Linked DNA regions of Macaca fascicularis. The protein of the gene in region 6 interacts with the protein of the main gene of each other region in a pairwise test. Links are inferred from orthologs where the notes say so. Each region holds a gene or a part of one and is shown on either strand. Other genes may lie near its edges.

What was found.
Region 1: the proteins of UBQLN1 (region 6) and NME3 interact in binary tests that used the Homo sapiens proteins (3 or more experiments, as listed by UniProt). The two-hybrid records come from large-scale screens. The link is inferred for Macaca fascicularis from reciprocal best matches to the Homo sapiens genes UBQLN1 and NME3.
Region 2: the proteins of UBQLN1 (region 6) and FZD7 interact in binary tests that used the Homo sapiens proteins (3 or more experiments, as listed by UniProt). The two-hybrid records come from large-scale screens. The link is inferred for Macaca fascicularis from reciprocal best matches to the Homo sapiens genes UBQLN1 and FZD7.
Region 3: the proteins of UBQLN1 (region 6) and KLHL42 interact in binary tests that used the Homo sapiens proteins (3 or more experiments, as listed by UniProt). The two-hybrid records come from large-scale screens. The link is inferred for Macaca fascicularis from reciprocal best matches to the Homo sapiens genes UBQLN1 and KLHL42.
Region 4: the proteins of UBQLN1 (region 6) and AGPAT5 interact in binary tests that used the Homo sapiens proteins (3 or more experiments, as listed by UniProt). The two-hybrid records come from large-scale screens. The link is inferred for Macaca fascicularis from reciprocal best matches to the Homo sapiens genes UBQLN1 and AGPAT5.
Region 5: the proteins of UBQLN1 (region 6) and DEFA6 interact in binary tests that used the Homo sapiens proteins (3 or more experiments, as listed by UniProt). The two-hybrid records come from large-scale screens. The link is inferred for Macaca fascicularis from reciprocal best matches to the Homo sapiens genes UBQLN1 and DEFA6.
Region 7: the proteins of UBQLN1 (region 6) and SCG2 interact in binary tests that used the Homo sapiens proteins (3 or more experiments, as listed by UniProt). The two-hybrid records come from large-scale screens. The link is inferred for Macaca fascicularis from reciprocal best matches to the Homo sapiens genes UBQLN1 and SCG2.

Annotation. Positions count from the first base shown.
Region 1 is NC_088394.1:2,535,351-2,538,499, forward strand, and holds NME3 (nucleoside diphosphate kinase 3), read right to left. Parts: upstream 1,719-3,149; 5' UTR 1,695-1,718; coding exon 1,649-1,694; intron 1,566-1,648; coding exon 1,435-1,565; intron 1,312-1,434; coding exon 1,210-1,311; intron 1,136-1,209; coding exon 1,023-1,135; intron 909-1,022; coding exon 791-908; 3' UTR 501-790; downstream 1-500. Other genes in the region: MRPS34 (small ribosomal subunit protein mS34), read right to left, coding at 2,377-2,669, 2,774-2,816, 2,969-3,149. UniProt on the Homo sapiens protein: Catalyzes the phosphorylation of ribonucleosides and deoxyribonucleoside diphosphates, other than ATP, into the corresponding triphosphates with ATP as the major phosphate donor.
Region 2 is NC_088386.1:97,857,375-97,861,649, reverse strand, and holds the start of FZD7 (frizzled-7), read right to left. Parts: upstream 2,801-4,275; 5' UTR 2,004-2,800; coding exon 279-2,003; 3' UTR 1-278. UniProt on the Homo sapiens protein: Receptor for Wnt proteins.
Region 3 is NC_088385.1:30,523,537-30,527,612, reverse strand, and holds the start of KLHL42 (kelch-like protein 42), read right to left. Parts: upstream 2,801-4,076; 5' UTR 2,731-2,800; coding exon 1,859-2,730; intron 1,288-1,858; coding exon of another isoform or gene 1,242-1,287; exon of another isoform or gene 1-1,241. UniProt on the Homo sapiens protein: Substrate-specific adapter of a BCR (BTB-CUL3-RBX1) E3 ubiquitin-protein ligase complex required for mitotic progression and cytokinesis. The BCR(KLHL42) E3 ubiquitin ligase complex mediates the ubiquitination and subsequent degradation of KATNA1.
Region 4 is NC_088382.1:7,082,835-7,086,998, reverse strand, and holds the start of AGPAT5 (1-acyl-sn-glycerol-3-phosphate acyltransferase epsilon), read right to left. Parts: upstream 2,801-4,164; 5' UTR 2,504-2,800; coding exon 2,285-2,503; intron 1-2,284. UniProt on the Homo sapiens protein: Converts 1-acyl-sn-glycerol-3-phosphate (lysophosphatidic acid or LPA) into 1,2-diacyl-sn-glycerol-3-phosphate (phosphatidic acid or PA) by incorporating an acyl moiety at the sn-2 position of the glycerol backbone.
Region 5 is NC_088382.1:7,297,027-7,300,240, forward strand, and holds DEFA6 (defensin-6), read right to left. Parts: upstream 1,863-3,214; 5' UTR 1,821-1,862; coding exon 1,628-1,820; intron 732-1,627; coding exon 622-731; 3' UTR 501-621; downstream 1-500. UniProt on the Homo sapiens protein: Host-defense peptide that contributes to intestinal innate immunity and mediates homeostasis at mucosal surfaces by forming higher-order oligomers that capture bacteria and prevent microbial invasion of the epithelium.
Region 6 is NC_088389.1:114,273,281-114,276,653, reverse strand, and holds the end of UBQLN1 (ubiquilin-1), read left to right. Parts: intron 1-894; coding exon 895-1,047; 3' UTR 1,048-2,873; downstream 2,874-3,373. UniProt on the Homo sapiens protein: Plays an important role in the regulation of different protein degradation mechanisms and pathways including ubiquitin-proteasome system (UPS), autophagy and endoplasmic reticulum-associated protein degradation (ERAD) pathway.
Region 7 is NC_088386.1:119,541,411-119,545,599, reverse strand, and holds the start of SCG2 (secretogranin-2), read left to right. Parts: upstream 1-1,389; 5' UTR 1,390-1,466; intron 1,467-4,189. UniProt on the Homo sapiens protein: Neuroendocrine protein of the granin family that regulates the biogenesis of secretory granules.

The DNA.
Region 1 (3,149 bases), on a different chromosome or scaffold from region 6:
CTGTGGCCTGCTCCCCGGGAGCAAGAGGCCACCAAGCAGAGGCCCATGGGGCTGAGGATGGAGCCGCCCCTAGCCGACTCCAAGCCCGTAGCGGGCAGAGGCCACCCTGGACTGCTCTCCCTGTCCAGCCGGGCCTCGCTGGCCTACTCCTACCTTCCAGGCCCACTGCACTCCTGTCTGGGAGGCCCTGATGAGGGCAGCCCAGCCCCCGCACCCACCCCCAACCAGAGAAGCACAGATCTTGGGGAGCTGCCCCACAAGCCCCGCTGGCCACCGTGGGCTGCAGCCACTGCGCTGCTGGCTTCTCCCCACCATCCCTGCCACCTCCACTGTGATGTATGTCTGCTCCCTCGTCTGTTCCCCCAGGATCTCGAAGTGACTCCGGGCTGAGCAGTGGTGCGGCTGGGGGAGGGGTGACGATTCTCCTCAGGCTTTGGCCCTGCAAGCAAACCCACATATCTGCTCTGTATGTAATAAACGTCTGTTTCTGGACCCAAACCGACACGAAAACGAGGACTTCACTTTATTATAAAAAGAAACGTTGGACCATGTTGGGCTGGGCACCAGGACAGTGTCCTGGCACGTTTCCAGGCGAGCCGCGCAGGCTCCTGGAGCAGCTCCTCGGGCAGGAAGCCCTGTACGCCAGGGATTGGAGAGGCCCCCGCCACCTTCGATGCAACGTCCTGACAGGTGGATGTTCCAAGCGCTGCGGGGTGGGGCCAGAAGCCCGGCCACCTGGCCCCTGGAGGAGGCTGGGGTGTCAGAGCCTCTGCGAGGCGCACCTGCCGGGCTACTCATACAGCCAGTGCCCGGCGCTGTCCTCCCAGCACAGGAGCTCGTCTGCGCGGAACCACAGCGCGATCTCGCGGCGGGCACTCTCCACCGAGTCGCTGCCGTGAATCAAGTTCCTGAACGGAAGAGGCGCGCGTGAGCGCGGGAAGGAGAGCTCCGGCACGGGTCCCACGAGGGCCGAATTGGGGGAGGCCGGACGGGGCTGGGCCCGTCCCCGGGGCGAGCCTTACTTGCCAACCTCGATGCAGAAATCCCCGCGGATGGTGCCGGGCGGGGCGTCGGCCGGGTTCGTGGCCCCGATGAGCGCCCGCGAGGTGCGCACCACGTCCAGCCCCTGCCATACCTGTGCGGGGGACGGGGGCGGTATCACGCAGGGGTGGGGTCCCGGGGCCGTCCGCCCGCTTCCCGGGCACTCACCATGGCCACCACCGGCCCGGAGGCCATGTACTTGACCAGGCGGCCGTAGAACGGGCGTTCACGCAGCTCGGCGTAGTGCTCGCGCAGCAGCTCCTCAGAGGCCTGCGGAAGGGTCAGGCCGCCTGCGCCCGCACCCGGCACCCAGGCGTCCCCAGGTCCCCAGGTCCCCGCCCCCCTTCCCCCCACACCGCGCCCCCGCTCGCCCACCGCGCCCCGCGCCCCCACCTGCACCAGCTTCAGCGCCACCAACTTGAAGCCCTTCCTCTCGAAGCGCCGCACGATCTCGCCCACCAGCCGCCGCTGCACGCCGTCCGGCTTCACGGCCAGGAAGGTGCGCTCGTGTGCGCCGGTGCAAGCTGCGGGGCAGGCGGGGACGTGGCGTCAGACCGGCCCAGCACCGGCCGCCCACCCCCCGCCCGCGCCGCTCCGCTCCGCTCACCGGCGGGGAAGAGGTTGGCGAAGATAGTCAGCACCAGGCAGATCATGATGGCGGTGCGGGCGCGGGCTCCGCGGGGCGGGGCGGTGGCGCCCGGGGCGGGGCCTGCGCTTAAAGAGGCCTGGTCCCGGCGCGGCGGCCTCCGCGGACGCACTCAGGGAGGCTGCTTCACTTGCACCCCGGAACCCAGCAGCCGTGGGGGGCCAGAGGGCAGCTGCGGAGGCCAAGTCTCCTCCAGTGGCTCGGACACTAACTGTATCCCCCACAACCCGCCCAGGTGGTTCCACCCACGCGGCGCCCTGCTCCGCACCGCCCGAGCCCCCGCCCCCCGGCCAGGGCCAAGACCACAACATCAGCCCTTCTCTCCCCGGTCCTAAAGACAGCGCGCAGACACCGCAACCCGGGGTACTTCTTTTCTCTTTATTCCCTTTCATAGCTTCTGCCGGGATCCAGGCAAAGAGAGCACTAATGGGGGAAGGGGAGTTAGCGCTTCCCGCTTTCCCCAGCGTGAGCCTGCGGAGTTGGTGTGGGGGCAGCAGGGCCAGAGGAAAAACATAGGTGGCGATTTGCCCCAGCCCTCCCCACTAAAATGCAGATCCTCAGAAAACGTCGCGGAAGGTGACCTCCCAGCTCCGAGGGGCAGACTCGGGTGTAACGCGAAGACGGTTTCTTTCATCTACAAGATCCCTGCTGCCTCACAGCCCCTCAGGCCACCCTCTGGTTCTGGCATTCTAGACGGGGGTGCCCTTGGCCCTTCCTTTGTCCTCCTGTTTTGCAGGGTAGTCCCAGGGTTCCATGCGTGTCCTCTGCACATTCAGCATGGGCTCCTCGGTGCTAGTGTCTCCATTTTTCTGTCGTTCTGCGAGAATCATGGCCCGGAGGAGCGGCGGGTACGGCACGGAGGCCAGGCTGTCCTCCGGCGCCGGCGTGAACGCGGTGAAGGCCTCCTCCTCGTGCTTGGGCACCAGCCGCCAGTCATGGTACATGACGTGTTCCATCTCCCGCGCCTCGCTCTCCGTCTTCCCTGATGAAGGAAAAGAGGTGTGCTGCACACACATTTGCTGTGCCGTCGGTGGTCGGCATCGAACTGCCGCGCACCCGCTCTCCACCAGCTCTCCCGAGCCTTACCTTTGAAGGTCAGGATGCCCCAGGCCCTCCCGTGGTCCAAGTTCTGCAAAACCAGAGGGAAGCGAGGTCAGCTCGCAAGGCTCTCGGCCCCCGAGATCAGGAGGTGGGAGCCTCAGACACGCAAACCTGCAGGGAGGAGGGGAGGCGGGGAGACCAGGCGGCTGCAGGGGCGGGGTGCGGACGGGGTGCACGCACCTGCGCCGTGTAGTCGGGCTGCACCCGCGTGAGGCGCCAGTAGCACGGCTCATCGTGCTGCCACAGCCAGGACTTGCGCGTGACCAGGCGGCCCATGCCGAAGAGCGGGAGGCGGCCGAGCAGCTGGAAGAGGCGGCTCTCGCGGCGCACGTCGGCCCAGGCCCGGACCGGCAGCCGGCGT
Region 2 (4,275 bases), on a different chromosome or scaffold from region 6:
GCCCAAGCTGGCCTGTACCTTTCACGATTCACATCGTCGTTATCATTATCTTACTGCAAGTCTTTGCCTGAAGTCTTTTCATCCAAACCGCTTTCCACCCAGATCTCCTTTTCCAAATCAACCCTCGCCCCAAATCTGCAAAGAACTTCTCATTTCCAGGTCACTTCTCAGTAGAGGGGGAGGTTACAGAAACAGGCCCCCACCCAGCAGTTCTTTCCCTACCCTGCCTCTCCTCTTGCAAGAGGGCAGGGGTGGGAAACGTAGGGAGGGGCCGGGGCTCATACTGCAGTTTCCCCCTTGCTGCTGTGGCTGAGTCTGTGGTAGAAGCGGCGCCACGACTGCAGGGTCTTGCCCGACCAGATCCAGAAGCCAGTGGTGATGCCCACGATCATGGTCATCAAGTACTTGATCATGAAGACGGTGAAGTCGGGGCTCATGGGCGGGAAGTGGCCGGGCGGGCAGGGCACGGCATAGCTCTTGCACGTCTGCAGGAGCCAGGTGCGCTCCCAGTGCTCGCGGAAGGCCTGCTCGTAGAAGTAGCAGGCCAGCACGATGGTGGCGGGCACTGTGTAGAGCACGCTGAAGACGCCAATGCGCACCATGAGCTTCTCCAGCTTCTCGGTCTTGGTGCCGTCGTGTTTCATGATGGTGCGGATACGGAAGAGGGACACGAAGCCGGCCAGCAGGAAGGACGTGCCGATGAAGAGGTAGACGAACAGAGGCGCCAACACGAAGCCCCGCAGCGCGTCCACACTGGACAGGCCAACATAGCACACCCCGCTGAGCAGGTCCCCGTCTACCTGGCCCATGGCCAGGATAGTGATGGTCTTGACGGCGGGCACGGCCCACGCGGCCAAGTGGAAGTACTGCGAGTTGGCCTCGATGGCCTCGTGGCCCCACTTCATGCCGGCCGCCAGGAACCAAGTGAGAGACAGAATGACCCACCAGATGGAGCTGGCCATGCCGAAGAAGTAAAGCACCATAAAGAGGATGGTGCAGCCCTCCTTCTTGGTGCCCTGCGCCACCGTGCGGTAGCCATCGTCCGAGAAGCGCTCCACGCACACGGCGCGGTCCTCCAGAAGGAAGCCGGCCACGTGCGCCACGGCCACCATGAAGTAGCAGCCCGACAAGAAGATGATGGGCCGCTCTGGGTAGCTGAAGCGCCGCATGTCCACCAGGTAGGTGAGAACGGTAAAGAGCGTCGAGGCGCAGCACAGCACCGACCACACGCCCACCCAGAGGCGGGCGAAGCGCCTCTCCTCCTCCTTAAAGTACATCAGGCCGTTGGCACGGCCCGGTTCGCACGGGGCGCCGCAATCGCGCTCACCCAGGAAGCGGTAGCCCAGGTAGGGGGGCACCTTGAGCTGACGGGGGCATGAGAAGGGGAAGGCGGGACGCCCCCTGCCATCTGAGGCCCCCGGAGGCAGCGCGGTGAAGGGCAGGTCCGGCAGGTAGGGCGCAGTAGGGTAGGCAGTGGGGCCGCCGCCTGGACCTCCGGAGCCGTCTGACGTATTCTGGCCCACGCAGATCTCGCCCGCGCCGTGCACCGGGAAGTTCTCGCAGCGCAGCCGCTCGGGCCACTGGAAGCCGAACTTGTTCATGAGCGCCTCGCAGCCCTGGCGGGCGCGCTCGCACAGAGAACGACACGGCGGGATGGCCTGATCGAGCACGGTGCACACGGGCGCGTACATGGAGCATAGGAAGAAGCGGAGTTCGGGAGAACACTGCACCTTCACCAGCGGGTAGAACTGGTGCACCTCGAGGCCCGCGTCCTCTTGGTTCGTGTGGCCCAGCAAGTTGGGCAGGATGGTCTGGTTGTAGGCGATGTCCGTGCACAGCGGGATGGAGATGGGCTGGCAGAAGCCGTGGTCCGGCACGGAGATGCCCTTCTCTCCGTGGTACGGCTGCGCCCCGGCGCCCGCGGACAGCGCGCCCAGCAGCACCAGCATCAGGGCGCAGAGGCCCAGGGACAAGCGAGGGGCGGCCGCGCCGGGGTCCCGCATCGCCGACCACGAGTGCAGCGGTGCTCTCAGCCCGAGGAGTGCGACGAGGCGGTTGGGAGAGGCAAGGATGCGGGGAGGCGCCGCCGCGCCCGGCGCATGAGAGTCCTCACGGCGCCGGGGCCGGGCCGTGGGCGGCGTGGAGCAAAGGGCGCTGCCGCCTGGGTGCCCGCGCCGCGGGGGCGCCGCAGCCGCCGCCGCCCGGCACTCGCAGGGCCGCCGGGGGCCCAAAACTCGTCAGCCTGGGTTGGGGGCGCCGAGGAGGGCCGCCTTGCTCTCCCCGCGAGGACTTAACGGTGAGGCTCCCTCCGCCGCGAGGAGCAACAAGCGGCTCCGGGCACCCTTCAAAGTTTGCCCAAGTCTCTGGACCCCCGGCGCACGGCAGCGCGCACGGCCCCCGCTCCCGGTCGGGCCCCCTCCAGGAGAACCCCCTCCTGGAGAACCCCTGGCGCCGCCGCCCGCTCGCCCCAGCCGCCGCCTCCGCGGTGCTGCCCCGCCTCCTGGCCTCCAGGCTCCGCTCGCCGCCGCCTCCTTCGCCTCCTCCTCCACACCCCACTCCTTCTTCAACCCCAAAACCTCGGCCCCAAGTTTCAGCCAAACGGCCGGCTCTCGCTGAGTCCGATCTCGGCCCCAGAGTCGGGAGCGCGGCGAGTTCTTTTTGGAAATCCAGTCACACTGCGTCCGAAACCGCGAGGCGCTCGTGCCCGCGGCCTGGCCCTGGCCCCTCCAGCCCCGCGCAGCCCCAGCCGCAAGTCCTGGCGCCCGCCGCCGCCGCCCGCCGGGAGGGAGCGCCGACTAACGCCTCGGAGTCGCGCTGGTCGCCAGAAGAAGCGTCGGGCTCGCGGGGTTCCGGACCGGCCCGCCCCCTCCCCTCCCCCCATTCACAAACCACTCCGGGGGCGGCCCCAGGTCCCGGCGGCCCAATGGTAGCCTTTGTTTTTTCGGTGGCCGCCTTTGGATTGGGCGGAAGTCGGAAGGGGCGGGCGCGGGAGCGGCGGAGGCGGTGTCCGCGGCGCTCTGGGCGGATTCCTGAGGGGAGGGGCGGGGGACTGGGAGGGAAAAGTTCGGAAAAACTTTTACCCTGAATTCGCTCAGGGGGGAAAACGCGCAGAAAGGGAATTTGCTTCAAAGATTTGTTCCTTTTCCTGGTGCACTCAGATGCGCATTCCTGAGCAGGGGCTCCTTCGCCAGCAGCTTTTGCGGGGAGCGAGGACCGCGCAGCGCCCCTGCGGGGAGAGACGTGACCGGGAGTCGCGTTAGGACTGCAAAGACTGGCTCTGGCGGGGCTTTCGGGTCGCCGGGTCCTCAATGGGTGGTTTGGGACGGGGCGAGAAGGGGGTGCGCCTTGAGGATCGCTTCTTTCCCCCTGGACCCAAACAGTCCACGCGAGGCCACAGTCCCCGCTCCCCTCTCCCGAGTTGTAAAAAGGAGGAGGGGCCGCCTCAGGAGAAACCCGAGTCGGGCGGAGGGGGCCGAGTGACGGTGGGAGGAAGGGCCCAAAGCGGGGAGCGCGGGGAACCCGGGCTCAGGCCACCCCGCCCGCGCGCACGGCCTGGAGTCTGGGGAGCTGGGGTGGCTCTAGCGAGGTTTTAAGGAAACGAAGACGGCGTTGGGGAGACTGGTTCTAGAAGTAACCTGAGACCGAGCGCCCAGGAACACTCTGTACGACGCGCCGGGCGTCTCAGTGGCCCCGTGTGCTTTGGTTCTGCGGCGTGTGGCCTTTCGGGATCCCATCTTCGTTGCAGAAGCAACCATTAGATCCTCCATTTAGAATCTGCATAGAAATGCTTAAATGCGTCTTAGAAACCAGGCTAATTAAAGAGTTTTCAAAACACAAAGCGGGGTTATCCTCGTTCTCGGGTAGCGTTTTCTGATTGGCAAACGTTCTTTTGTTCTCGGTTAAATCTTCGTCCTGCGCCAGGCGCTAGGCGCTCGCGCGCGCTCTCTCTGGTTACTCCTGGAGGGTCAGAAGTCACCAGGGGGGCATCTCCCCTCTCTCCGGGCTGCCAGGAATATCAGGAATTCCCATGCAGGGAAGTGACATGTTGAGAAGGAAAGGAAAAAAATCAATCGACCTCTCCTCCTCCTCCTCCTCCTCCTCCTCCTCCTCCTCTTCCTCCTTCTTCTTCTCTCTCTCTGTCTCTCTCTCTCTCTCTCTCTCTCTCTCTCTCTCTCTCTCTCTCACACACACACACACACACACACACACACACACACACACACACACACACACACAGAGCAATCCTATGCTTTAAAAAACGTTATTCCGGGCCGA
Region 3 (4,076 bases), on a different chromosome or scaffold from region 6:
TTTGGGAGAGTCAAAAGTTATATGGGGATTTTTGACTGTGCAGGGGTCGGTGTCCCTAGCCCCCACATTACTTAAGGGTTAAGTGTATTTATATAAGTATACATGTAATTTACAAATATAGATGTTTATACATTTATAATATCTAAAGGTAACAAAAGTCTGTCGATACACTGACACTTTTTTTCTGTACCCTGAGGGCAGACATTTCCTCTTCTTACTCTGTATTTTTGTGTAATTTGCAGTTTTTCTAAGAAGCATGCATTCATGCATTACTTGAATGCTTTTTTTTTTTTTCAGGGGATGAAAAGGGCCTTCCTAGAAAAAAGACAAAGACTACCAAGGATGTATGAAGGGAAGAAAGAACTGTGAGGAACTGCGGTACTAAGGATGGCCTGGTGAGCGTCAAATGATGTGTAGCTGGAGGCATGTAAGAGGAGACAGAGAACTCAGGGCCGCCCACCCCTAATCAGACCACCACCCATAGCCACACAATGTTTCTTTGTTGTTTCAATTACAGCGCATAGAATGTTTTAAAATAACACTTCTGATACCAAATTTTAAATATGGTATCATCTCAATGGTGCAAATAATGCATTAAAAATGGGCTGGCAGGAAATATGCCAACCTGCAGTTACTGCCTCTAGGAAGAACGAGTGGTAATAATCATCTTTTTGCTTCTTCATTCTTTTCCATTTTCTAGTTTTCTGTAACCATGTATTATCAGGGAAAAAAGCATACTTTTCAAAATGAATTCCATATTATAGGAGAAATAAAGCCAGTTATTTCCCCAAATAATCCCTGGCCAAGGAGGACCCTCGAGTCAAATAGATAGATATATAAAGGATTCTCTGTTACTGTTAAGACTTCCTTCGCCTAGCTGTGAGTTCCCCAATTCCTTGCTCCACACTTCAGGACCAGGACCCTGTGAGGACTGAGATGGAAACACGTGGATGGGAAGAAAGGGTATTTTCATTCTTTCTTGAGTTACGTTGATTCTCTTCCCTGCTTCTGAATGACTCTGAGGCCTCCTCGGCGCTACCGTCTTTATTTCCTACCATCTCTTCCTGTATATGCTCTTTGCTCTTGTTTTCATATTCCTTCCCTGGTTCGTTTCCCTTCTCCCCTCTCATCCCACTCCCCAAGCTCCTCCTCTTCCTTTCTTCAAGTCACCCATATTGGAGGCAGGAGGGATTTGCAGGATGGGAGGGGGAGAAGGTTGGGTAAATGAAAATATTCCAATTCTATAGTTGAACACTTCCAGGCTCAAGCTTTGGGTCATGACGATGGCTGTCCAGGGAAGGAAGCAAAAGAGAAGATAAAAAATAAGAAAAGCAACCCCTATTGCAAATGTTAATACATTTCCAGTGATTATCTCTTGGTCATGATGGGTGTCACAGTGTGAAAGACTCTCTGCTGTCACAGTCACTGACAACAGAAAAAAATCCCCCAAAGTCAGTGTCACAGGTTACTGTCCAGTGTGTCATTACCATCAGGATCGAATCCTAAAAACTAAGAAAAATTTTTTTAAAAATTAAGGAGCAATTTTCTTTTAAAGTATTCTTATAGGAAATCACGACATCTTTTTTCACAAGAACAGAGACAAAGAAAGCAGATTCACCTAAAGGCACAATACCTGCCAAAAAACCACTCCACTACTTGACCTCACTGGGGAGTTCCTCTTCGCAATTTCTTAGTTCACTGGGAACTTTGCCAGCACCAAGGCCAACAACATTCCTGAAGATGTCATTTCCACCTCAGCACACCCTCCCCTATTTACTGGCTCAGTAAACACCGGGCCCATGAACTAATGAACAAGTGAATGAATGAGAAGGCAGCAGCACTCTGCCGGGGTGCTTACCTCTTCTGGTTCATGGAGGCCACCTGGAGCCACTCGTTGGTGCTGGGGTTGTAGGAATGCGCAGCAGAGATCTCCTGGCTAGTGATCCTGTACCCGCCCACTATGAAGAGGTAGTTGTCCAGGATGGCAGACCCATAGCCCCTGACATTGACCAGGTCGGGAGGAAGGTTGTTGGCCAGCGGGAACCAACGCTCAGTCATCTCCTCGTACCTGAGCATGGACGGGGGCTCCCCCTGGTAGGGGTGAGGGGCCAGGGGTCCCCCCAGGAAGTCCCCGAGGGCCACGAGGACAGGAGTCCCAGTCATCCGGGCCTCCCTCAGCCTCTGCTTCAGGCTGACATCCCCTGGAGCTTGGGGAGGAGACCCCAGGAGGTGGAACTGGGGCTTGCACAGCACCTCGTGGAAGTGGACGACCATGAAGCGCAGGCAGGCCTCCTGCAGGTCGGGCAGCCCGTACACCTGCGCCAGGCGGTACATCTCCAGGCAGTTGTTGAGCCGCACCTGGGACAGCAGCAGCTGCAGCAGAGACGTGACCTGCAGGAAGGAGGCCGCCTCCACCAGCTCGGACAGCAGGCTCACCTCATCCATCTCCTCATCCTCGTCCACCCCGCCGCCCTTCTCCCCGCGCGGGCCCAGGAGCCAGCCTTCGCGGGCCCCGCCGGCGTTGATGAAGTCCAGCACCAGCCTCAGGCCCGGCGCGCTGAGGCCGCGCAGCTGCTGCACCTCCGGGCCGCCGGCCTCCTGGCTCAGGGCCTCGCGCATGCCGGAGCGGTAGAGGGCGCGGAAGTAGTCGCTTTGCTCGATGAGCTTCCTCTTGCTCACCGGGTAGCAGCGATCCTCCAGGCGGATCTGCACCATCTCCTCGGCCGACATGGCTGGGGGCCCCGGGACGGCGGCGCTCACCGCCAGATCTGCGCGCCGGCCTCCCCGCCCCCACGCGCGCGCCGGTTCCGGGCGGGGCGCCGAGGGATGGCGGCCCGGGAGGAGCGGCGAGGTGAGGGCGGCCCGCGCTCGCCCGGCCTCTCCAGCGGCCCCTCCTCCCGGGGCCCGCTCCCGCGAGGCGGCGGCTCTGCCCTTCTCCTTTTCCTCAGCGCCAAAAAAGGGCCGGCGGAGCGCGCCGGGCGTCCTCGCGCGGGCTCTCCCAGGCGGCGCCAGGCGGGAAGGGAATCCCTGCCCCCAGCCCGCAGCCTCCTCCCCTGCCGCCCTTCTCACTTCCGCCTGTGGGACCCCGGCCGCCGGCCTGACCTGCAGGCTGGATCCGGCCCTCGGGGAGGCCCGGGAGGCTGCGGGCCTGGGCGCCCCGGCTGCGGACGCGCAGCTGCGGGAGGCGGAGGGCGCGCGTCCCCGCAGCCTCTCCGCACGCCCGGGGCGCGCGGCTCCGCCGCCTGCCAGGGGCTGCAGCGATGCTCCGGGGTACCCCAGGGAGAAGAAATTAGTTTTCTCTCCCACGCTGCTTTACACGGGCTAAAGAAAAAGAAATGAACGTGGGAGGAAAGAGGAGGGAGTCTCTGGTCCAGGGAGACAAAAAGGCATCAAATCTAGGATCGTCCTTCTGGCCCAGTCCGGCATCGAGTGTCAGTGGGCTGAGGCAAGCAGGCAATCTGTGGACATGTTGGTGGCAATGTTGGTGGCACGTAGAGCTGATTCTCTGGTAGAGTCGTCGCGTAGGAGCCATCTTACAGGAGGTCCAGGCAGATGGCAGCAGGTTCTCAGAGGAATCGGGTTGGGAGGCAGGGGACCTTGCATTTGCCACTGGGGCCCTTTGTTCTCCCTAAGTTATTAAAAGAAAGATGAAAGCGCAGTTCGACTAAATAAAGTTACATCACGTGGCTTCTGGTTTTAAACCACGTTTTCTATGAGCCATTGCTTGTCTACTTCAGTCTGCTTGGACTAGCCATTACGGAATGTTATCCTGTCGCAAAAGATCTGACAAAATCAGCTCATAGATGTCTGCAAGAGGTAGCTTTTCTTGTCACCCCGTTTCTCCACCTACCCTGCCCCCATCATCTGAGGACTATTAAGAGAGATCACACGTTCAGTTTGGCTGAGCGCGATGGCTCACGCCTGTAATCCCAGCACTGGGGGAGGCCAGGGTGGGTAGATCACGAGGTCAGGAGTTCGAGACCAGCCTGGCCAACATGGTGAAACCCCGTCTTTACTAAAAATACAAAAATTAGCCGGGTGTGGTGGCACGCGCCTGTAATCCCAGCTATTCCGGA
Region 4 (4,164 bases), on a different chromosome or scaffold from region 6:
AAAATATTCTTCTGCAAGAACTACTATGAACCACTTATTTTTTAAACCTAGAGTTGAAAGGCATAAAAATGTCATTAAAAAAATTTTTATTTTAAAATGTCTCTTTAATATATATAAATTAATAAACTTTTTATTTAAAAACTTATAACCTCTTAAATTACTAAAACTCCCTTCAGAAATGAGTCAACAATACTTTATGCAGAACAAGAGAATCATCACTAGCCTTGCAAACGAAAGCTGATAAAAACAATTCAAGAAAAAAAGAGTATCCTAACAAAACAAGAAAAGCAAGCTAAAAATTTTAATCAAAACATCTCAGTGACAAAGTTAATGGTACAAAGTCACAGGTAAAAAATATGGTGACAGAACGTCACTATAAATCTTTTTCCCTTGGGTCTTATGTTTGAAGATAGCTATTTATTCCTCTATTGGTTTAATCTTAAAAGAAACAAACAAAAATATTGAAAGGTAGCTTTGTGTACACAGGAAACCCAGATTCCAGAAAAAGACCCTAATAAATTCAAAATACCCTGCTCTCTGTTAGTAAACAGAAAATAATTATTTGTCCCCTCCAAACAATAAAAATAAAAATGCAGGAATAAGAAACTCTTGCTTTTAAATTTGTATTAAATGTTCATAACTTGCATTTGAGGATCAGTGGGCAATCAGTTAGTTCTAGGATTCCTAAAGAACTTCATCAAGGAACACACAGTAAACAAAATTTTGAATTATACTTAAGTCAGGCATCCTTTCATAAGTGCATGAAAATTAGTGCTGGACGCTAGTTCCTTTGATTTGAATGGGGCGGGGGGAAATGATTAGATTAAATGTTTTCAAAATCACTTGCTGGGAAATCAAGAAGTAAATTGGAGCTCTGAAGTCAGCAGTATATAAGGTAAGGTATGTAATTTCAGAAACACTGCTAAGTTTTACAGCCATTTAAAAACATAAGAACTTGCCAAACCAAAAAATCCTTCAATGGTGTATTCTGCATCATATTGTGTACTCTTAGAACAAAAATAACCTAACCCGCCACAGATAGAATTATTTTTTTAAGAGTGAATGACTTTGTGTTCTGAGATTATATCCCAACCCAGGCCAGTTGTCATATGACGTGAAAGTAAAAACTTAATCATGATAAAACTCAGACATTTAGACAAACTTGGTGGAGTTACCATACAAAGGGAAAAAATTAGCCTGAATTATTGAAATTTTTAAGTGAGGCTCATTTTAAATGTCAATTGCCAGGAAACCATGATCTGGAATAGTATCTTCTTTTCTTTCCAAGGAGACATTTACAGATACTGGTTTAAATGGAGGCCCTGGCCTCTCCTAATTCCTTCCCCCCAAACAACTTCCAACTGGGACCATCAAGGGTCGATCAGCAGTGCAACTGCAAACTAAATATAGTAGCTGACTGACCACAGGGTAAAAACAGCTGCTGCAGGTGGGAAAAAAAAGTTAAAAAGACAAAATGATACCGTCCCATTTTCCCCATCCCACCCTAACCCTACCAAGAAAAGTAAAAGAGGACTAAGTGGACATTAGGAATAACCAAGAATAAAGCTGTTCTTTCAAATTGAGAAATGAAAGAAAAATTCACATTTGTTATTTCTTATAAGACTTCAAATACCTACTGTTAAAGAGGGCCTTCTACTTTTATGGTTTGTTTCTCAAGTTTAATCTACGAATCCAATCTCTACAGAGAAACAGTAACAGAAAGTAATCAGACAACAGATCACCCACACATTTAAACCCAGTTAAAGTTGGCAAGAATTGTATCTAGTTAGGTTTCTACCGTAACAAATGTATTTATTTCCTCGCCCAGCTTTCACTTGTCCTGGGGGAAGAACACAAGACCGAATTGTACTTCTGTTTCAAGAGGTCATTGTAAAAGCGCACTTCGGAGTGTAGACGTCTCCGATCTGTTCCAACATGACCACCTCTTTGGACCAAAGGCCAGAAACTGCTAAACGCGTGCCCTATTTAAAACGTGCATCTGCACCCACTTTTCTAAGTAGCATCGGACCCAGGCGAGGGGCGGGGAAAGGGGCGGCGGGTCCCACTTGTAGCCTCAGGACGACGCGGCCACAGCTTCCTAGAGAGAGATCTCGGCAGACCGGCAGGAAGCACGCGGAGAGGAAGGCGGGGAGGCGGCACGTGCTCTACGTGCTGGGTCCGCCGGGCCGGCCGGGTGACCCTCGCCAGCTGGTGGGGACCGGAGGGGTCCACGCCTCCGGGAGCTCGGGTGGACGCCGAGACCTGGGAGCGGTAGACGGCTCACCTGGACCCCGGTGTAATTCTCGAAGAAGAAGAGCACCATGCTCTGGTAGACGCAGTAGAGCCGGTCGTCCAGCGCCTGGTAGAAGCGGGCGGGCAGGAAGGCGGAGAGCAGCCGCCAGACCCCCCAGGCCAGCACGTAGGTGGGCGCCGTGCCCAGGAGCACGACGCTGGGCAGCAGGTAGCGCATGGAGTACGTGTGGAGTACCAGGGACAGCAGCATCTTCTCTGCTCGGCAGCAGCGGGCTCCGCCTGCGCTCCCCGCCCGCCGCCGGGGCCTCAGTCGCGGCCAGCAGGCGGCCAATCACCGCCCGGGCCCGGGCCGCCGCGCCCGCCACCCGCTCCCAGCCTCCGCCCCCAGCCGCATGGGCCGCGCCGCCGCCGGGGGCCGGGTAGGCGAGTGCGGGGCTGCGTGCGCTGCTCGCGGCTGCAAGGCAAGCGAAGCCGCGGCCCTCCCGGATCCACAGCTCAGGGATGCTCACACCCCATGACCCTCACCCATCGCCACATCCCCCCCGCCGGGGGAGGGGCTCCGCGGCAATAACGCGCCTTCTGATTGGTCATACGTTGCCATAGGTACCCGTCGGAGGCAATAACACGTCTCTTGATTGGTTGATTTGGGCCGACAGTTAAAGTACAGCTACCTACCGGGAGCGCGGGCAAAACCAGCTCAGGCCACTGCGCATGCTCCCCAGCTAGGCCGGCTGCGGACGCTGGAAGGGAGGTGGCGACTGGCGGAGCTAGGTGAAGGTGGGTGCGGGCTGGACGAGGGTTCGGGTGACTCGTCCTGCTCCCTCGGCCGGACGTGCGCGCGGGCAGGTTTAAGGGGCGCTGGAGGTGCCTGGAACGCGCACCTCCTGCTCACAGGCCCCTGGGCGCCGGCATGTACACAATCAGAGCAGTGAGAAAGGGGGTGTTAGGGTTATCAGAGGTCCCAGTCTTGCAGGCACCTGGGCCCAGGTCGAAGGGCAGCTCGGGTGTCCCCGTCTGCTCACTGCCAGTCCTTAGCAAGGGGACGCCGCCTCCTCAGCCTCCCCTTTGAGTGCGCAGCAGCCCCTCCCGCTCGTCTCTCTTTACCAGGGTGTTTCAGAATTAGGGTCCCTGTTTTTCCCATCACAGTAATGATGATAATTACATGTTTATGCATAGCAGAAGAACCACCCCACAAGGATATTTCCATACTGTTTATTAGACCTTTTCAGAATTCACTCTTGCTTCATTTCCTCAGAGCCTGTTGGACTTGTTTCTGATTTTTTTTTTTAAATAAGGAGCCTTTTTTTTTTTTTTTTTTTTTTTTTGTAGTAAAAAGTACTTGCGTGCACATGTAGAATCCATAAAATACATACTTTTGTAGCCTTCACTAAAAGCTAGGAAGGCTGGATAGCTGTTTTATTGATGTTAAAGCAGATCCACAGGCCTTCTGGATCTTTCTCCCCCTCTTTGGCTGCAGTAAAAATGGTTTAATATGTAACCCTTTTCAAGGATAGTTGTACTTTAAAAGAATGTCAAATGCTTTACCATATATATATATATATTCCACCCCCCCACCACCACCATAATGGAAGCCCGTGCTACCTTTAGGCAGGACGGCATTTCAGTGGAAAGTTCTAATCTGGGCCAGGATGGTAGCTACTTTCTTTATACATGATTAACATCAAGTTACAACATCATTGGTAGATGGTGACCTTTGGGGACAAAGCCAGGTGAATAGAGATCTCTCAAGTAACAAGTATTTGAAGGCCAGCAGGAAGCATTACACAGTACAAAGAACTTCTCTCCCTTTCTGTGGCTGCCATTGCCCTGTACTGTAAGAAGCACTAGGTTTAGTACCGGAGGGAAAAAGTCACGGGTGTGGACAATGTGCACAACTAATGCTCCTTATGC
Region 5 (3,214 bases), on a different chromosome or scaffold from region 6:
CAGCATTAACATTAAAACGGAGTGCTTAAGGCCAGGTGCGGTGTCTCATGCCTGTAATTCCAGCACTTTGGGAAGTCAAGGTGGGTGGATCACTTGAGGTCTCAGGAGTTCAAGACCAGCCTGGTCAACATAGTGAAACCCTGTCTCTACTAAAAATACAAAAATTAGCTGGGCATGGTGGTGCACACCTGTAATCCCAGCTACTCGGGAGGCTGAGGCAGGATAATTTTTTGAACCCAGGAGGTAGAGGTTGCAGTGAGCCAAGATCGTGCCACTGCACTGCAGCCTTGGCAATAGAGCAAGACTCCATCTCAGAAAGCAAAAAACAAAAAACAAAAACGCAAATCCTCTCTTCTCTCAACATCCTCTCTACCATTTCTCTGGTGTACATAGAAAACTCTTTGGAAGAGCTAGTGTTTTGAGAGAAGACTTGGTTTTTTTGTTTTTGCATTTGAAGATCCTGAATTATCAAACATCAGAAAAGCACAAGCACAGAGAACTTGCTGAAAGGACTTTATTTGAGATGAGGAAACAAAGTTGATGACAAAGTATAGGGCATGAAACAGTTTCCTTCTAGGTCATAAAGCAAATTATGAATACATTTCTCTCTGTTCTCATCCCTCAGAGGCAGCAGAATCTGTTGCTAACACCCATGACAGTGCAGGTCCCATAGGAATATTCTGTTGAATAACAGGACCTTCTGCAATTGCAAGTGAAACTCCTTGTTGAGCCTGGGGACAGAGAGAGACAGAGCATCAGACATTGAGTACCAGGGTCAGCAGCGGGCAGTAAAGAGAATCTTCGGGAAGTTGCATGCTTGCTGACATGTAATGCTGGCTGCATTACAGCCAATAGCATGATCGCATGATCAATAGGAATAAATATGCAGAGCAGTGTTGGTCGCACACAGGATTAGAGACCCATTCTGATATGCTGCACTTATCTGCTCCTGCCCTGTCACACACACGTCTGAATGCACATGTATGACTGTCTCCAGCTACCAACGGTTCCTATAAAAGTCAGATTAAAAAACATTCCTTTAGCAGTTGGATGTGGTGGCTTACGCCTGTAATCCCAGCACTTTGGGAGGCCAAGGTGAGTGTATCACAACGTCAGGAGTTCAAGACTAGCCTGGCCAAGATGGTGAAACCCCATCTCTACTAAAAAAATTACAAAATTTAGTCAGGTGTGGTGGCTGGTGCCTATAATCCTAGCAACTTGGGAGGCTGAGGCAGATAATTGCTTGAACCCAGGAGGCGGAGGTTGCAGTGAGCTGAGATAGTGCCACTGCACTCCAGCCTGGGCGACAGAGTGAGACTCCATCAAACAAAACAAAACAAAACATTTCTTTAAAATTAGGCTCTCTTCCTTGAAGTAGAGACTCCTCAATACATTTCTACATAGCAAAAAATTAGAAAATTTCATAGACTTGTCATAGAATTAAAAAATCTTTAGAGAAAAGTCATTTCTTGAATATCACTGATTCTTTCTTTTCAGTACAAACATGAAGTAATTCAGGCCTGGGGAGGTGATCACCTAAGAGAAAGAGCCAGCCGTTGGGTCTAATTCTAGACGTGCTTGGTTTTCCTCTCTACACTCCTAGCTCTGCAATGCTGGTGTCTCTTACCCAAAGCTCTAATACGTGAGTTTGCATCCTCTGCAAAGGAGATGGTAAAGTCCTGGTTATCTTCCCCACGCTGCTCCTGGGCATCAGCCTCATAAGCGCTTGCCTGGAGTGGCTCATCCTCGGCTTGGAGTGGCTCAGCCTGGGCCTGGAGGGCCACCAGGAGAATAGCAGCAAGGAAGGTGAGGGTTCTCATGGCTAGGGTCACCTGGGGGAGAGAGAGCAGGAGCAGATGTGTGGGGAGTGAGGAGCCAGCCTGTATTTATAGGTCTGCTGGGAGAAGGCTCAGAGACAGATGCTGCAGTGAGTTGGGGGTGTGCATGTAATTGGGGAGCAGAAGAGCTACCCTTGCCCTCCAGGTCCCTTTGATGCTCCTTTGTTCTCCAATCTTCATTGAAGTGTGAGGCTATTCATTGAGTGTCTGTTCTGGTCCCAGCTGATAGTGGTGATAAGAACAGTGCTACACTTTCCTATTTTCCATCTGCTGGAATATTTACTTCTTAATATTCAAAAAAGAAAAGAACAGTGCTTTCATTGAATAAGTCCAGGAATCAAATGCCTTTTATTTTCTGAAGGTGTAGGTGGCCACTCTCTGGAGGTCTAGACCTTGAGGCCGGAGCTGGATTCCATTAGAGTAGAGGGCTAATTCATTTCAGGATTCAGAGGGGCATTTCTGCCCTCATGAAGGAGGCTTTGAGATTATGGGGTGAGTAGGCTCTTGTGGGTCACAGTGTGGAGAAGACAATGACCTTATCAGCTTATAGGGGAGATGAGCTCTGTGGGATACTAGGTAAAGAGTTAGTAAAACTAAAGCCAAGAGACAGATTTATTTCAAGAAACCATTGTGATCTGAACGTATCAAGTAAAATATGTACTAGGTATTTCTCTCCACTTTGAGAAATATCGAAACAATTGACATGCCCACAACCCCCCTCTGAAATTTTATTTTATTTTTTATTTTAGAAAACTTTAAATCACCCACAAGGAATATTCAAAGGGTAGAAGGAGTAATGAGCCTCTATCCCTGCCCCAGCCTTGCAGCTCTGCTCCAGAAAATCTCCACTTAAAAATTAAACACATTGGTTTGCACTTTGTTTTTTCCCCCTAATGCTGTAATTTGAATACTTTGTGGCTCAAAACACATAGAACTCTACCGTTGTTTTCATAGTCTCTTGTTTCTGGTCTTCTATTCAGATGTTTCATCCATTTTGAGTTAAGTTTTGTGTATGGCATAAGAGAAGGGTCCAGTTTTATTGTTTTGCCTGTGGAAATTGTATTCCCACCACCATTTATTGAAGAGACTCTCCTGTCCCCATTGTGTCTTCTTGATGCCCTTGTCAAAAATTACTTGACCATATGTGTTTGGATTTATTTCTGGACTCTCAATTTTATTTCACTGGTATGTGTCTGGTTTTATGCCAATATCATATTGTTTTGATTACTATAGCTTTGTAATATAATTTAAAACCAGGAATTGGGAGATCTTCAACTTTTTTTTTTTCCTCAGAATTGTTTTGGCTATTTGGGTTCTTTTACCATTTCATACAAATTTTAGTGTTTTTTTTGTTTTTTTTTTTTTTAAATTTCTCT
Region 6 (3,373 bases):
CTATCCCACCCGCCTTAGCCGCCTCCCAAAGTGCTGGAATTACAGGCGTGAGCCACTGTGCCCGGCCTGCTTTCTGTTTTCAGGCCTTACTAAATACAATAAACAGAGTAGTGTTCTGTCATATACATATCTGTATTCCTGATAAGCCAGCGTAGTATAGTTTCTGGCTCATGGTAGGTACTCAGTAAGTATTCATGGAATAAATAAGAAAGAAGGATTTGGAGTATTAGAATTAATTGTTACATAAGTTAACTTACCTCCGAATTACCAAGTAGGCCTAGGATTGATTGGTCATTTATGTGATTTATGTGGGGTTTTTTTTTTTTTTTTTTTTTTTTAACTTCATTTCTGAAGAAAAGATTTGATGCTGCTGAATTGTCAGAATTAAGAGTATAATTTTGGGCCTGAAACTGAAACTCTTTTCTAAGAATTGACTGTCCAGTGTGCAAGTTAAACTCACATTCATTCAAAGAATCATTGAAACTTTAGAATTTCATACATGAGGATACCGGCTTTTATAAGTTACTCAATTGGTCAGTAGCTATACAAATCATCTAATTCTGAACTATTTGTATATATATATGTGTTCAAATTTTTCTGCACGTACATGATCCTCTAAAATAACGGTTGATGTTTATTAAGCTTCCCCCCCTTCCCCACCAAAGTAGAGTCGTGATCTATTTGACGTGATTAGGTATAAACTAGACTATTTAAAATAAAGTGCTAATGGACTTTTAAATATGTTGGATATGTTTCAAGAGGTGGGCAGTGTTTTTGAAGCTCAGTAGATCAGCATATGTTATAAAAAAGCAATTAAAAAATTTTAAAAGTCAGTCAGGTGTGGCATGGATTGGCTTCCTTTAGAGTTGGATTAATTTTTTTTTTCTTTAATAGCTACAGAATCCAGAAGTCAGATTTCAGCAACAACTGGAACAACTCAGTGCAATGGGATTTTTGAACCGTGAAGCAAACTTGCAAGCTCTAATAGCCACAGGAGGTGATATCAATGCAGCTATTGAAAGGTTACTGGGCTCCCAGCCATCATAGCAGCATTTCTGTATCTTGAAAAAATGTAATTTATTTTTGATAACGGCTCTTAAACTTTAAAATACCCGCTTTATTTCATTTTGACTCTTGGAATTCTGTGCTGTTATAAACAAACCCAATATGATGCATTTTAAGGTGGAGTACAGTAAGATGTGTGGGTTTTTCTGTATTTTTCTTTTCTGGAACAGTGGGAATCAGTGCTTTTCATTTAAGGCTACTGCATGCATCACTTCTGCATTTATTGTAATTTTTTAAAAACATCACCTTTTATAGTTGGGTGACCAGATTTTGTCCTGCATCTGTCCAATTTATTTGCTTTTTAAACATTAGCCTATGGTAGTAATTTATGTAGAATAAAAGCATTAAAAAGAAGCAAATCATTTGCACTCTAATTTGTGGTACAATATTGCTTATTGTGACTTTGGCATGCATTTTTGCAAACAAAATGCTGTAAGATTTATACTACTGATAATTTTGCTTTATTTGTATACATATAGAGTATGCACATTTGGGACTGCATTTCTAGAAACATACTGCAATAGGCTATCTGAGCAAAACACCTGTAACCAAAAAAGTGAAGATAAGAAAATACTCTTAAAGCCGAGTATTTCCTAATTGTATAGAATCTTACAGCATCTTTGACAAACATCTCCCAGCAAAAGTGCCGGTTAGACAGGTTTGTTGAAAATATAGTAGAAAAACTGATTCTGGTTATCTCTTTAAGGACAATTAATTGTACAGACACATAATGTAACATTGTCTCAACATTCATTCACAGATTGACTGTAAATTACCTTAATCTTTGTGCAGACTGAAGGAACACTGTAGTATACCCCAAAGTGCATTTGCCTAGGACTTTTCAGCTTCTCCCATAGGTAGTTTAACAGGCATTAAAATTTGTAATTGAAATGTTGCTTTCACTGAAAAAGTGTCTAAATGTTTCAGTTATTTTTAATCGCCATATAAAAATAGAACTCTCTTTTGGGTTTATCTGTTTTCTCATGCACAGGCAATACACGAATTTAAAATGAGTTGTGAGCCAATTGTTTCTGGAGTGTTTTGGTAGTTCTGTTACGAAATAGTTAAATATTGTGCTTTTCAGAGCCTCAGAAAGGGGGACGGGGTGGGGGGGGCGGGCAGTGGAATCTATCCTGGATGGGGCCAGCTTAAATAATACTGGCAACCAAGATTCTGTTAGGATTTCTGTGCATATAGTATAGTAAAGAAGTATCATTCAGGGGTGAAAAACAAAGAGCCGTTTTAATGATGTTGAGTACATTTGGCTGTTTTATAGCCTTTTTCTTCCCTCCCCAAAGAATTCTGTTTGCCTAACTCCCAAACTGTTGGGGTGGTACATTCCTTTAGGACCAATTAAAACAGAGTTTAGGGTCAGTAATACATTTGGCTGACTCTGGTTCAGTATTCTCTTAGGTGATTATATTCTCTCATGTACAGTTACAGGAAATTAAAATGTTAAAGTAACCTAAAATGAATTCAGACCAATAAAATCAAGGGAAATACAAGTTGATTCCATTACTTCTGTACGTTGCTTGCTATTAAAAAAGGTTAAGAGGCCAGGTTACCCACCAGTCCATGCACTGTTCTGACACTTTCCCCAGGAGGAAAACAAGTACAAAGGTTATGGTGGAGGCATGAGTAGAGATTGTTGAGAAGGGTATTCATGTGTCTTTGCTCTTTCTGCTTGATGCCTCAGTCTGGTTTAAAAACTTCTGTACTGGCGAATGTGGTATTCAGTGTGGGATAGTGTCATAACTAATTTGACAATTTATTAATCACAAAATAACAATAAATCTCTAGCTTTTACATTTGATTTGTCTTGCCTCTTTTGTAGAAAGAAAAACAAATGTCTATAACTTTTGCTAACCATGTGTTTTAAAGGCTATTGAAGTTGATTTACCCCAGATTTTGTCACATTTTACATTCTTTATTTTTCAGGTTTTCCAATTAAAATGTCACATGGTCTTTTGTGGTGTGATAAAAAGATAGCACACTGGGAAGGTAGGTGACTTGAGCTCCACTTTTGATCTTGGTACTTGACTAGTTATGTGACATTGAGGCGTCATGATTTCTTTATTATACGTGTACTGGTGAGGCTTATAGGTGCACTGGACTGGGCGAGAAGCTCTGAAGTACCTTCAAGCAGCTGCAGTGGTATGGTTTTCATTTTTAATATGTTTACCTTTAGGTCTAAGTCTAAAGATAAATATCTACATCTTAAGGGGTTCAAAATACTTAAAATTCTTATCAGCACTAAAAGGATGTTTAAAATACTGTAGGCTTAAACTGTTCTCATATTGAGTGATAA
Region 7 (4,189 bases), on a different chromosome or scaffold from region 6:
AAATGGTCCCAAATACTGCTAGCTAACCTCTCTATTGCTGCTTTCCAATTTATATGAAAATTGTGTGTTTATTTGCATATCATTCCCATTAAATGAAAGGCTCATCAAAGGCAAAAAAAAAAATCACTCATTTTTGTATTAGTTAACAATTGTGCATTTAGCAATGTATCTGGCACCTAGTAGGTATTACAATTTATTGAATCAGTGGCTGATGGTTCATTTAGCAGAAACACATGGGATCTCTTATATAGCAAGATTCTATTGCATTCTTAAAGTATATGTCAATATATACAGTTTTTAGAAACTCATATCTTTAATAAAATAAAGTTTAAAATTTATATTTATATAAATTATTGAAATATATAATCAGGTTATCTGGCAAGGCAGAGCAATGATTATGAATTATAAATCTGAGAGATTGAGAGTTAATTGCTGTATTATTCCCTGGATTGTTCACATTCATGGAAGGTATTCAACTTATCTGATTCAACAGGAGAAGGGAAATATTTATAGTACAATGTCCTTTCGATTGCAAATGAATTCTAGTTACGTATGTGTCACATTTTTTCCAAACAGTGAAAAGACTTTTTTTTTTTTTTTTTAGTAGATGAAAGTATTTTCATCAGCACTCAACTTCTGAGCTTCCCTTTCTGAGATCAGATATTGTAAAAGACAGTAAGAGAGATACAAAGAACTATTAATTACTAAGCTGGAAGTCTTATAAATACCCATTTAAAAAACTATGTAAGCTATTAAAGTTGACTCTCATATAAAAGAGAGACAACGCTCTGTTTTATTCAAAAAAATATGATTTTGAAAGAATGATGGCTATGGTCATGATAAGAAATATGGCCTTTCATATTTATAATGTGTCCTTCATTCATCTTGGGTATACCAGGAAATGGTAATGTAATTTCTTTGTGGGCAAAGATGGAAAAATAATCCTTGTCTGTAAAACTTTCTTATAACAATGACGACAACAATTACAACAGTGACCCCAAGAAACTATTATAACAAGATGCTAGAACATAGATGAGATTGTCTTGCAATTAGCTATGTCTGTCTGACACACATTTCTTTCTTTGTAAGAGAAATCGTGCCGAGCAGTTTATTCTGTCTCAAAGGTTTTGATTAAAGAAAAAGGAAAACTGCAATTTTTGCCACAAAAAGACAGGTGGCGTAAGCATGCAACTTTTTTTTTCTTTTCTTTCTTTCTTTCTTTTCTTTTTTTTTTTTTTTTTTTTTTTTAATATAAAGTGATTATTTTCTCTCGGTTCTTTGAAAAAGCTCGCTTGTGCTGGGGTTTGTGGCTGAGCCCGGTGACGTCAGTGTGGCAGTGCGGAGTCAGGCGCAGCAGCTCCCTATAAGCAGAGGAGCTGTCCGTGTGCTGAAACGGCCCGAGAAGCTCGCCCGGAGAACGGGGAGGAACATGCTGTGGAGCTCCTCTGCCATATAAACAAAAAGAGGTAAGGCTGCTTTTCTCTTTGATTTACTGGAAAGTTCTAATATGCATGCTCTTCTTTTAATTCCTAGCTGAGGAGAAAAAGACTGTTTGGCAAGCTTATGTGATAGGATAACTGAATAGCAACCTGCTGCTCATCAGCCGATGTGAGGACACTACATATGTGTAGATACATGATCGGGTCTATGCTTTATACTACTTGATGTTGGATATTTACCAACCAGAATGTTATTTAGATAATCATATTAAAAGGAGTGAAAAAGTTAAGGATTTTAGTGTGAATACACAGATTAGTGTAAAGTTAACCAAGCCCAATACATTGTTTCTTTCCAAAATTTATTATTTCTGCTACTAAGAGCCAGATACGAAGCCAGGGGCGTAATTTATATGTTTAATATTCTTAACAGTAGGTTTCCAATGATTCAAAGGCTGTTAAGCATGTTAGTCACAAAGCCAACCAATTTTGGAACTAGTTTTTTTTTTTCTTTGATATTCATCTCACAAGAGCTCTGAATTAATTAACCATATAAAATTCTTTTCTGAACTTGTATATTTGAAAGAGCTTACATCATTATCTCCTAATTTTAGTCCTAAGGTATTAACTTAGGATTTTCCTGAACACTGGATTCTTCCTTTTTCCAGGGCAAAATATTATCTGGGGTTATAGTTTGGTTGTGACCATGAATTACAGAGAAATGATAGTTTTGAATACATGATGAAAATATTAATAACTTTGTAAATTGTTGTTATTACTATAATTTGATTTAAAGAGGATGTTCAGTATGTTGTTAAAGTCTGGGACAAGTATTTCTTTTTCTCTGTTTCCCAACTAGTTGAATTGCTTAAATTATATATAGTTACCTGCATGTGTCAATGCTCTAGTCTGATTTCAACAGAAAAGACATTTTAACTTGAGAGATATTGATGATAGCTGTCAGGGGAAAAATATGTTCTAATTATTTGGATTTCAGAAAATTCAATTTTAAATCAAACCTTATAGAGAGTAGTAGAGCTGTTGAAACATCTTTACTACTTGAAAGGGCTGCTACCTGGGAAAAAAATCCTTTGGGTCTCACTCAAAGGCAGTAACTATGTCATTCAAACTGAAGCAGAATAGATAAGCAAAGGGTAGCACTTGTTAGGCTGTGGTGTAAACAACTGCAAGGAGTATTGTGCTTCAACTTTACAGCAAAGTGCAGTTCCAAGATAATGATTTTAAAGATAAGCATATAATCCATATGTTAAGACTATTTAAGTATTGTGGCTTCAGAGAAAATAAGTTCAATAAGGTTTTTAAGATTATTATTTCAAATCCCAATGTTGAAAATTGATTACCAAAGCTAAATTAATCCTGAAATAATATAAACAAGAGTGCATAATGTATTTTTACTTGAACCTCATTATTTTATGAATAAAATTACTTATAGTAAACATGCATTTATAATAAATACTTTGGAAGTATCCTCTCAAATGCCTTTCAAGATTTTTCTTTCAATAAATTATGTATTCTGGTAAATGTGAATCATTTAAATAAATATATATGTATGCTAAAATGTTTTCATAACTAAGCCATTATTGGGCTCTAAAAAACTGGAAACAAAATCGTCAGTATGATCTTGTGAACAATGGTATTTTCTATAATTGATGTTTAAGCTAACAGAAAATTGTATACATATAACTTAGCTTATCTATCACAAAACCATGATCTGGTAAAGATATGAACAAACTTATAAACTCCTTTTACATTCATTCTGTTTACAACAAAATAACAAATATTAAAATAGTTTTTTTCAATGTTAGCAATATTAAATGTAAGGCACATAAAAACTAATCCTCTTACCAATTCCTATGTGAGATTTTAAGGCACTGGAGAAAAAATGAATGGAGATTTTTAAGTAGGAAGAATTCAGCACATCATCTGTGTTTATTTGAATTGGGATTTACATAGTGGTTATTTTAAGATTTTTCTAAACAGTATGAGTGATTTAAGATTTCACAGGTCCATACCAAAATAGACACAGACATAAGACAAACTGAATCTGAACACTCACAAGTTCAGAAATAGACTAGCTAAAAAAACTTATGTTCTCTCTGTAGCATCTGTTATTATTTACTATGCACTCTTGAGGGCTGATGAAAAGTATAACCACAATTGCATTTTGCAAGACAGTCATAATAGAAATTATTAGAAGAAATATGGAGCAAAGAGATTTTAAAATGCTTTATTGGTTTAGCACATTTACACAAAAAGAAACTTCACTGGTTTAGTCAACTGGCTGGAATCTGAGAAGACCTGTGTTCTAGAGGTTATTTATGGATCATTGGATTTGCTATCAGATTGAGAACAAGTTATTTCTGAAAAATATATGTGGATAGGACTCCCCACAAGGTAATTCAGTATGATTGACATATAACAGAATCACTTTGTCATATATGGTCATGTAACTGCTGCTGTGTTTCAACAACAAAATTAGATGGACACTTCAGGAAATAAACCACATGTTTTTTGACACAACTTTAAGGACATAGTTTGTGGGCGTGTATGTGTACATGCGTGTTTTAAATTAAGCCAACACATTATTTGGCCAATGACTTCACTATATAACATAATCAAAACATCTTGGGAAGTATTTGCTGCTTTATTATAAAGAAACAACATGTACTAAACATCCAACTGCAAGTTCTGTAAATGAAAAAATAAAATTTGAGAAATCTCATATCAGTGTT